3 linked regions of the Sus scrofa genome follow. The protein of the gene in region 2 purifies or fractionates together with the protein of the main gene of each other region. This does not show direct contact. Links are inferred from orthologs where the notes say so. Each region holds a gene or a part of one and is shown on either strand. Other genes may lie near its edges.

Region 1 (3,517 bases), on a different chromosome or scaffold from region 2:
CGATCTCGAGGGTGAAATACCCCCTGCACGCACACCAACGCAGACCCCGGTACAAGGAACACCGCATCCCCCCCACCTCTTCGGCAGAGCCCGATTCTGCATCGCCTTTCTCTGCCTCTGCCTCCTGGAACTGGAAAACACTACTCACTAGTGAAATTCTATGAATCCTGAAATACACTTTGAAGTCATCGTGAAATAACTATACAAAGTGACCTTTTAAAGACTGTCTTCTGAAACGTGCTCTCCTAGGAGATGCCGTTCAATTTTACCCTGTTTTAATGCTGCCTGGAGGACACGGAGACAGTGACTCCAGAGCACCTCATGCGGAACACGCTCTGGAGACTGACAGTTATCCTCACACGGCCAGTCTCTGAGCGGAAATGACTTGTCTGTGGTCACACGGAGCATCGAGCCTCGTCTTTACAAAGGGCGGCCCCGGAGCTGCAGGCCGTGCAGACTGGGGCCGGGCTCTCCCGCTCACTTCTCTGCAGAGTCGCCCCAACAGGAGCCCTTATGGAAACGCCGCGAACGTCCACACGCATTTAAAGTATATCCACGCACGCACGTGTGCACGCGTTTTGAACACGCGTGTGCGCCTACGTCAGGGGCCCACCTCCGCGTGAGGAGCGTGAGCTGCGGGGGACCAGCCTCTGCCCGCGCTCTGCGGGCTCCCGCGGGGACGCGGCGGGGGAGGGTCCCTACCGATCAGCTCGGCGGGCTTGTTGGGCCGCTTGTTGATGAACGCCTCGAAGGACTCCTTCATCAGGTTGATGAACTTCTCGTTCCTCTGGAAGCACACGTCGATCACGTGGTCCACGCGGTCCTTGAAGTCCAGCAGGTCCTGCACCATGTCTTTATCCTTTTCTGGATTGATAACGATGGTTGTCCCAAACGTCTGCAAGAACAAGCGCTCCGCGTCCTCACCGGGTGTGTGACACAGCGTCATTTCTCTCCTGCTAACACTCTCAACGGGTCAGTGCAAATTAATCACTCCTGGTATTACATGCTAACTACTTTCAGAAGTTTCCCAAACGCAGTCGACTACCTAAAAATGAAGCAGATGTGCAGAGAAGGCTCTGGGGTTGCAATCCTGCTTCTGGAAGAATTTACAAATTACTGGGGAACCGTCGGCTGCTTTTAAAAACTCTTACTTACAAATTCGTCAAAGAGAAATGACGTCCCCTAACCTGACGCCACTGTTTGTACTTCCTGACTAATGGGCTTGCTCCTCACTCACAACCATGGTCCAGAGCCCGGCTTTTCACTCACAGGTGCTGTGTGAGGCATTTAAAGGCCCGTGTGAGAGCTGCAGCTCACCTTTGCCAAGACAAGCTACCAGCCCAAGCGGCACTGAAGACACCTGCCAGTCCACATGACAAACGTCTGTTTTTAAAACCGCCCTTCGGAGGACACACCCGCACACATGCCCGAGGGGGCAGGTGCCTGGCGAGAAGACAGGCGTGAAGTGTCACCAGTGCCACGGGGGGTGGGGGCGAGGGTGGGTCGCCCTTCCCCCCGTTCCCTCCAGTACTGACCGGGCCTGAAAGAAGGCACACCCGACCCGTGAACACACCTCCTGCGCTGCCAGAGCCTCCCTGCAGACCGTCAGCGGGCGCCGGCCCAGCGTCCTCACCACTGCCCTTCCGCCCAGACGGAGAAGCACACAGGTGGGCTTGGGGTGTCGGCTGCTGGGCTCGGGTCTCTCGGGACCCCTGGTCGGCGGCTCCAGGCCAGATTATTTTATCTTTTGGACTTAGTTGAACCTCCCTGCGTGGTCACAGATCCACACGCAGAAGCGGTGACCATGTCCTTTGTTCCCAAAGGTACCAGGTGGCAAAGCCACCAAGCAGCATCACAACTGGGACACTGGACACTGGCCTTTGCCATGTGCCCTCAACTCATCCACGTGGCTGGCGTCTCACCTGCGCCCGCCTCTGTGCGAACCACCTGCGCGTGTTTGTGCGCACACGCCTGAAAGCGCACGCTTGCTCACAGACCTGGATTTCCAAGACACAAGCAGCACCCGCACCACCCCGACACACCAACCCGGGCAGCAGCTGCCCCCGAGCAAAGGTCATGGCTCGGGAGATGAGGCCATCACGACCGCTGATGTAAGCCGGTGCTCATGCTGACCACGAGCGCCGAGGGCAGCGGGCACAGCTGACACCTGGACCCCCTCCATCCCTAGAACCGGGTGCACAAGTGACCTGGAAGAGGGACGGCCACCGCCTGCCCGCCGCGGCCAGGGGGTTGCACGCACCTTGATGTACTCGCTCCAATGCTGCAGCAGCGCCTGCTGGCCGCCCCGCACGCGGCTAAACAGCTGGTACATCTGCGTGAGGTCGGGCACCCTGTTCTCGTCCAGCAGGTGGTCCAGCCCTGTGGTCACACGACACCGTGAGCGGCTGCGGCAGGCGGCCGAGGTACAATGGCCACACGAGGTCACAGGTGACCCGGGACGCAGGAGCCGCCCCTGCCCTCGGCAGCCGGGGAGGTCCCCTTTCCCCCCGTCCCGCTCCAGCAGCTGCGTCTGCAGAAGGCTCTCTCTCACCAGCTCTGACCTGGGGCTCTGAGCCCAGGTCACGTCTAATTCAGCCCCTCGGCCGGCAAGTGCCTCTGCCAAAGGATAAGCTGGTGCATCCGGTCTTTCCCAGCCGCTTCATACCAGCCGCCTACGGCAGCGTCCAGGTACTTACTACTCTAGGCATGACCCCTCCATGAAGGTTTGCTAACACCACACGATCGGAAGAGCCTCCACGAGGGCGCCTAAGTCCCTGCTTTGCGGGACCTGTCAACAGGCGCATGTGCCCACACGTCCAACCCGGGCGCCCAGGCAAGGGGTCAGAGGCCCCTTGTTTCTCTCAATGACTTTCTGACCTACTCCTGCAAATACTTCATTTTACAATTTATCTACTGAAATGCTTAATGATGACTTAAGAATTCAAAGATCAGGAGTTCCCACAGTGGCGCAGCGAAGATGAAACCGACTAGGAACCATGAGGTGTGGGTTCCATCCCTGGCCTCGCTCAGTGGGTTAAGGATCCAGCGTTGCCGTGAGAGTGGTGTAGGCTGCGGATGTGGCTCGGATCTGGCGTTTTGTGGCTGTGGTGAAGGCCAGCAGCTGTAGCTCTGATCTGACCCCTAGCCTGGGAACCTCCATATGCCGTGGGTGTGGCCCTAAAAAGCTAAAAAAAAAAAAAGAAAGGATTCAAAAGTCAGATTTTAATTTTGTAAAAGGTCTCTAGTAAAAATTAGACTACGTTCTTAAGTATACATGATTCACTATTTTCTTGAAACAATCTTGCTTGTCAAAACATGCCCTGAAACGAATCACTCAAATGTCTACTATCTACGTGACGTACTTTCTTCCAAAGAGACACCGAGCAGAATCTGGAAGCTTCTGTTTGAGGTCGACAGTAATTGAAGGCCCTGCTCCGGAGAAAACGTACCAGCTGCTGCTCCAGGGGGCTGCGAGCGGGGAGACACCAAACCTGCGCCGGGCTGTGGCTCTGTCTGG
Region 2 (4,029 bases):
GGTAACCTTGTTTTCACTGGAAAATAAAATGATACTCTTACAGGGATTAAACATCCCCATAACTGGGCCAAATACCATTGACAGCCTCATCTTAAAAATATGAATGTAACATGACCAATAGTCTTCACGTTAAAAAATACAGCAATCCTCACTGACTTCGGGTTTGTGGGTTTTTATGAAATGTAAAAATGACTTTGGTAAAAATAAATGCAAAGATGAATTCTGTCTGCCTTATTCTTTAAAATGGAACATTATAATCTTTATGACAATTTTTAAAGTAACACGAAAAACATGGAAATCCACTTAAGACTTCTGTCAAATATTTACAAAGGTAAAAATTAAATTCTGTAGTTACTGAATCTTGGAGTTTGCTTCAAACTCCATTTTAGCCAAGAAACAAGCCTAAATCACTAAATACTAGGAAAGCTAACAGAATGGAAACGAATGTATGGGTTAAGTCTCCCTTAAAATAACTAAACCTAAGTACCCTCGCTAACTTCAATAGCTATGAACACTTAGCAACAGCCAATTATTAAATCCTAACACATTTGGATACAGAGGTTAGATGTCTATACACAAATGAAACAAAAGCCACCAAAAATCATGTCATCCCTTCATCTCACAGAACACATTCAATTCTAAACTAGCTGAAACTTCCTAATCCTTTCAGAAACCCTCATAAAGTAACATTATAACTATTTCAAAACATCAGGTGCAAATATATCTCAGAAAATCAATGCACTGCCTAGATTTCAAAGGTTTGATCTGCCCCAGTAACTGCTTTTAATTTCCCAACACACACACATACATACAACCTATATCAGTTTAGGAGAAAACAATACGAAAACATACCTCCCGAAAACAAATATCCACTGTTCTATTCACAATCCTTACGTGATAGGTCCGCTTTTAACAAGCGATTTTTAGAAATTACTAAAATATTCACTTCGAAAACCCACAGAAGTAAGAAATAGGTTTCCCAAGCTGCTAACAAAATACTCCCCGATGGAAACTGCAGCACTTTTATTTGCCAATTTCCATTCCACAGTAAACATAGGAACAAAAATCAGAACTGATCTTCAGTGGCCTCCAAAAATAGCTTTTAATTTAACGAGGAGGCCTAACACGAGAAACAGCCGGATTGGAAAGAAAGAAAAAAAAAAAAGCTCCTTAAACTCCTGGTTTTCGGGGGTCCCTTCTGAGAAAGCGCTCGGGGAAATGCAAGCGCCGCTGGCCAGCCGGCATCGTACATCCGAACCTCTCCAACAAAAAAACCCAGATCGGTTCGTAAGGAAGGCGAAAGAAATGGGAGGAAAAAACAAAAACAAAAAACCCCCAGCGTCTCGACCCGGTTCCGCGGTGGCGGCACCGCCGGCTTGTGAAATGCTAATGCCACTTCGGAGCAGTTAGTCACCAGCCATTGTGTGGGGCAGGAGAAAGCCGAGCCGCCCGCGCGAGCAGAGCGAGCAGGCGTGCAAAGCGCGCCCTCCCCGCTCGCGCCGCTCGCGCCGCTCGCGCCGCCGCCGCCGCCGCGCGCGCCCCCGCGCCCGCACGGCCGCGCGCGCCGGCCCCTCCTCCTCCGGCCTTGCACTGCACAACGCTCATGACGTATCTTTATTTCTAGCACATTAACAAAATATCACAAATAAATTGTCGGCAGCCCCTGCGGCCCCGGGGTGCGGGTCCCCCCGGCCACTGCCCCCCGCGGCCCCCGCGCCTGCCTCCCAACCCTCCCCTGGCCTTGGGAGCTTGCAGGTTCCGAGGCCAAGTTTTTGTCTCCGTAAAAAATTGCGGGAAATTCAATTTTTATTCGACTCGGGGAAAAGTTTCTTTGCTCCGCGACGCGAATGTCTCACCAGATTCTGGTAGGTCCTGGGATGCTCCTTCCCGGTCCAGTCGGTGCGCCGGGGCAGCAGCTGCGGGGAGAGGGCACCCCGTGAGCCCGGCCCCCGGCCCCGGCCCGCCCGCGCCCCTCCCCCGCCTGCCCCCCGCCCCGCCGGGGACCCCGAGCCCCGCGCCCCGCGCCCCGGCGGCGGCGGCGGCGCAGCGGCCCGCTGGCGGCCGCGCAGCGGCGGGACGCGCGGGCCGCCGCCGCCCTTACCTCCTTCTCGGCCACCTCGCGGATCAGCACCTGCAACAACAAAGCGGGGAGAGCTGAGCCCCGCGCCCCGGGCCCGGCCCCGCCGCCGCCGCCGCCGCCCTCCCCCACGCCCGCGAGCGGCGAGCGCCCGCCCGGCCCGCCCCGCGCGCCGCCGTACCTGAGCCGCCTGCTGACAGGGTCCATCTTCCAGGAACCGGGCGATGAGGAAGTAGAGCTCTGCGCGGGAGAGAGGGACCGGAGACACAGGCTGAGCGGCCGGGCGGCGGGGGGCGGGGGCCCGCGGGCGGAATCGCCCGGTGCCAGCGGCCCCGGCAGCCCCCCGACTTACCCGATCGCAGCTCCGAGAGGCCTTTCCTCTCACAAGACATGTTTATGGGTCACTTCGGGGCCGCCGGCGGGACACCCCGCCGCCGAGGGGAAGCGGGGATGGTGCCGCCGCCTGCCCTATAGCTGTCACTGTGTGTTCACGAGCCGAGCCTGGGCTCCACCATTCAAGCTACGGCGGCGGAGGCGGAGGAGGAGGAGGAGGAAACAACAACTCTCAGGCAGCGGCTCCAGCCGCCGCCGCCTCCGCCGCGGATCCCTCCGCCGCAGAAAAGAGTCCGCCGCCTTCGCGGCCCCGGGCTCAGCCCGGTCCTGCCCGCGCCCCCGCCCCCCGGCGCTGAAAAAAAGGAGTGCCTCCGACCCCGCGCCCACGGCGCCCCGCACCCGGCGCGGCGAGCCCCCCGCCCGCTGCTTCCCGGCCGGAGGTGCTATTTATTTATTTATTTCCAGTCGAAGATGTCGGAGCCGAAGCCGCCGGTTGGCTGCAAGGCGCTTTCTCTGTGGAGGCCGATCGCGGGAGGGAGGGGGGTCGGCGACGGCTCTGCGGAGGGATCTGACGCACACGGCGCCGCAGCACAGGCTCTATTCAGTGGCGCTGGCTGAGGCTGAGATGGAAGTTAGTTTCTATGTAGCAGAAATAGGAAACAAATGAAGCAAAACTGCCCAGAGAGGGGAAATGCCCCGAGGATGGGTCTCACTCTCACGCGCGCGCACAGACACACACGCATAGAGCACTCTCACGCTGGGCAAACTCGGGATCGCGCCACCCTGCCCGAGTTGAATGATAGTGTTTGGTTTCTGTCTCTTGGCCATGTGCATGTGTATAAATGCTGCGGATTGGCATCTGTGTAAGTCTTGTCCTGTTATTTCTGCAGCCTAGGCAAAGTGTTGTGTAATTTAACGGAGAGCTGTATATTGCAGGAGAGGTTCAGGGGCTTTTTGTTGAGCCCTTGCGTTTCCAAGCCCGTTATTTGCTGAAGCCACCTCTGCATATATCTTTTATTACTGCCATTGCCTTAACCGTACATTTTTTAAATGTGTGGGGTTTTTTATTGTTATATTGGCAAAGCGAACTCGTAGTCTGTACTTCAGATACTCTTTTTTTTTTCCCCTTCGTTACAAAAAGGCTAGTAATGGCTAATTAGGGATTTGGGATTAAAGAACCTTAAAGCTTTCTTAAGTGTTTACGAGAAGGAATAGTGTAAACCTGAGAGAAAGGAAAGAACGCTAATATTTGTCTCTAACTGATCGGGAGGGAATATAGTGACAGATCAATAACCTACCGAAGGATAATGAGAGAGTATACTACACTTTAGCCAAAGTGATTAGTGATTAAATAATTTAAATTATCTGTGTATCTGTGTATACTTCGTCATGCTAATTAATGGCTTCTAATTTGAGGTGTAAACCATTCCTGTTTACAGTTAATCACGGGAAGACTTCTTGAAAACTGACAAAAAGAGAAAAAAATTAATCTTTTGTAAATGAGTATGTAATTACCGGTTTTATATGCTAAATCATACATCTGTGTTTTGCTGATGAGGATAAGGGCCTTGTTTTTTTAAAAACGAATATGGGTGAAATTAATGGAAACAATGGAAAAA
Region 3 (3,517 bases), on a different chromosome or scaffold from region 2:
TCATGAATATTTTCTCAGGTCGGTCTCCCAAAGCAATAGACCTTAGAGCAAAAATAAACCCATGGGACCTCATCAAACTGAAAAGCTTTTGCACAGCAAAGGAAACCCAAAAGAAAACAAAAAGACAACTTACAGAATGGGAGAATATAGTTTCAAATGATGCAATGGACAAGGGCTTATCTCTAGAATATATAAGCAACGTATACAACTCAACAGCAAAAAAACCAATCAATCAATGGAAAAATGGGCAAAAGACCTGAATAGACATTTCTCCAAAGAAGATATACAGATGGCCAACAAACACATGAAAAAATGCTCACCATTGCTGATTATAAGAGAAATGCAAATCAAAACTACCATGAGATATCACCTCACCCCAGTCAGAATGGCCATCAGTAATAAATCCACAAATAACAAGTGCTGGAGGGGCTGTGGAGAAAAGGGAACCCTCCTGCACTCTTGGTGGGAATGTAAACTGGTACAGCCACTATGGAGAACAGTTTGGAGATACCTTAGAAATCTATACATAGAACTTCCATGTGACCCCGCAATCCCACTCTTGGGCATCTATCCGGACAAAACTCTACTTAAAAGAGACACGTGCACCCGCATGTTCATTGCAGCACTATTCACAATAGCCAGGACATGGAAACAACCCAAATGTCCATCGACAGATGATTGGATTCGGAAGAGGTGGTATATATACACAATGGAATACTACTCAGCCATAAAAAAGAATGACATAATGCCATCTGCAGCAACATGGATGGAACTAGAGAATCTCATCCTGAGTGAAATGAGCCAGAAAGACAAAGACAAATACCATATGATATCACTTATAACTGGAATCTAATATCCAGCACAAATGAACATCTCCTCAGAAAAGAAAATCATGGACTTGGAGAAGAGACTTGTGGCTGCCTGATGGGAGGGGGAGGGAGTGGGAGGGATCGGGAGCTTGGGCTTATCAGACACAACTTAGAATAGATTTACAAGGAGATCCTGCTGAATAGCATTGAGAACTTTGTCTAGATACTCATGTTGCAACAGAAGAAAGGGTGGGGGAAAAAATGTAATTGTAATGTATACATGTAAGGATAACCTGACCCCCTTGCTGTACAGTGGGAAAATAAAAAAAATTATAAAAAAAAAAGAAATCATCACCTAAGTAACTCCAAATAAATGAGGTGTTAATTTACTACAACCTTGTCAAAATTTCAGATTAACTCAAATTTTATGAGTAAAAGAAGAACATTAAATAATTGGGGAAAGGAATTGGAAAAATACCTATAAGTTCAGCAGGTTTGTTTGGTCTTTTGTTAATAAATGTTTCAAATGCTTCTTTCATGGCGTTGATAAATTTTTCATTCTTCAGAAAACAGATATCAATTATATGGTCAACCTTATCTTTAAAATCCAGTAATTCTTGAACCATGGTTTTATCCTTTTCAGGATTAATTACAATAGTGCTACCAAATGCCTAAAAAACAGAAATAACCACTTTTTACCAGAATTGAATTATCTACAATGAAAATAATCCAAAAATCATATTTTAAGTAGGTACACATACTTTAAAATCTCAAAAAACTTAAAATAAAATAAAGCTAGTTTTGAAGTCAAGGAAAGAAAAAAATAGTGAAAAAATACCATTCATCTATAATCACAAAATAATGAATGATCACTGGGTATACAGTATCATAATGGGGTATTATTATAGAAGTGTCTAGGGTCTTTTCCCTACTTTTAAAGAAGTGAGCTTTGAATTTTTAGAAAATAGCAATCTGCCTTCAGTGTAAGATTGAAAAAAGGGAAGAAATTTGGATAGAAAAAAGGTCCTATTTCTTTCTCCACATTCACTGCTCTGAGTATCAGAGCTAGAAATCACATCAGACATCAAGAAGGTAACTGTTTTATTGCTAATTTTCCACACAGCTATCATTCTCAGGTTGACTGCTCTCAAAATTCTCATTACTTAAAAAAAATTGGATCTCACGAGTACTAAATGCTAGCTGATATGCACTCTGGATATATAAATGATAAGCCATGAGAGGAAAAAAAAAAAAAACCAGGTTAATTGTTAATACCTTAATGTATTCAATCCACTGTTGCAAGAGAACCTGAACGCCTCCTCGAACTCTACTGAAGAGTTGATATAGGAGAGATAAATCTTGAATTCGGTTTTCATCAAGGAGATTATTTAAACCTGAATTTTGAAGTATTTGTTATTAAAAAAGTGAAAACATCAGATATTGTAATGAAAATTAAGTTAAATTATTACTGTGATACTAGATTTTAATATGGATATGTGCTCTGAATTAAACTCAAAGAGACAGTCACCTTTCCAAATGAAAACTAAATATAGAAAACTTTACATAAAAATAAAAATAATAATATAGCAGTTTATACTATTTAGTATGGCAGATCACATGTATAAACCAACTTATAAAAACTGATTTACATAAATATATATACTTCATATCAAATTTGTAACAGCCATATATACATCAGTGTACATAGGTATATTTTAGAGTATTAGATATGGCCTGTGGTATATTGAAACCCATGTACCAATAGGCAAAGTTTAAATGAAGTTCTAATGCATTTGATTTTCAGAATGAATAGCGTAACTGCATTAAAATTCTAAAATATTTTACACAAAAGAAAAGATGACTGGAAAGAAAGGTAAGACTTTGGCCTATTTGTGGCACTGTCAAAATTCAGGACATCCTCATAGATAACTTAGGAGTAATAGAAATGCTTGGTTCTGGGAGTTCCCGTCATGGCACAGCGGAAACGAATCCGACTAGGAACCATGAGGTTGCAGGTTCGATCCCTGGCCTCGCTCAGTGGGTTAAGGATTCGGCATTGCCGTGAGCTGGGGTGTAGGTTGTAGACTCAGCTCAGATCTGGTGTTGCTGTGCTGCCTGTGGTGTAGGCCAGTAGCTTAGCTCCAAATGGACCACTAGCCTGGGAACCTCCATATGCCATAGGTGCAGCAGCCCTAAAAAGACAAAAAAAAAAAGCAAAAAAAAAGAAATGCTTGGTTTTATATGCTAGGAACAGAAACATTTTAGTGAAAAAATGCCTTTCCTTATTACTGTAGTCTTACAAATTAAAATAAAAAATCCCCAAATTCCCACTGTTTCTTTACTGGTATTGGTAGAGTCCTCTCATCTTACTTTCTGTATCTTAAGGAAAGAAGCACCTCCTTAAGTTTACAGTGATGACTAGGGAAAAGTGGGTTGCATCCATCCTCAGAAATGCAGCCACACGCTAGCAAATTTTCAAAGGTGCAATCTTTAAAAATTTTCTACTTGTTTGCTGCTATCATTTAAAAAGTAATCTCTTATTTATAAATTGCCAATTACCTTTCTGAAGAATTGCTGTTAAGTGTTCACCTAGAAGTTGTTTCTCTACAGTAGCAATTAATGACTTCCTACAAAAAAAATTAGAATTATTGACATTTGACTTTGCTAAAAATTTACAGCCTCTCCTGGGGGGGGGAATCATATTTCAG

What was found.
Region 1: the proteins of PHIP (region 2) and CUL4A purify together in Homo sapiens (affinity purification with western blotting; 11 studies listed by BioGRID and IntAct, with this or other methods). This does not show direct contact. The link is inferred for Sus scrofa from reciprocal best matches to the Homo sapiens genes PHIP and CUL4A.
Region 3: the proteins of PHIP (region 2) and CUL4B purify together in Homo sapiens (affinity purification with western blotting; 8 studies listed by BioGRID and IntAct, with this or other methods). This does not show direct contact. The link is inferred for Sus scrofa from reciprocal best matches to the Homo sapiens genes PHIP and CUL4B.

What each region holds. Positions count from the first base shown.
Region 1 is NC_010453.5:78,574,028-78,577,544, reverse strand, and holds part of CUL4A (cullin-4A), read right to left. Parts: intron 2,380-3,517; coding exon 2,261-2,379; intron 896-2,260; coding exon 703-895; intron 1-702. UniProt on the Homo sapiens protein: Core component of multiple cullin-RING-based E3 ubiquitin-protein ligase complexes which mediate the ubiquitination of target proteins. As a scaffold protein may contribute to catalysis through positioning of the substrate and the ubiquitin-conjugating enzyme.
Region 2 is NC_010443.5:87,115,664-87,119,692, reverse strand, and holds the start of PHIP (PH-interacting protein), read right to left. Parts: upstream 2,810-4,029; 5' UTR 2,470-2,809; coding exon 2,430-2,469; intron 2,318-2,429; coding exon 2,259-2,317; intron 2,132-2,258; coding exon 2,102-2,131; intron 1,917-2,101; coding exon 1,857-1,916; intron 1,492-1,856; exon of another isoform or gene 853-1,491; intron 1-852.
Region 3 is NC_010461.5:98,685,568-98,689,084, forward strand, and holds part of CUL4B (cullin-4B), read right to left. Parts: intron 3,437-3,517; coding exon 3,369-3,436; intron 2,204-3,368; coding exon 2,085-2,203; intron 1,481-2,084; coding exon 1,288-1,480; intron 1-1,287.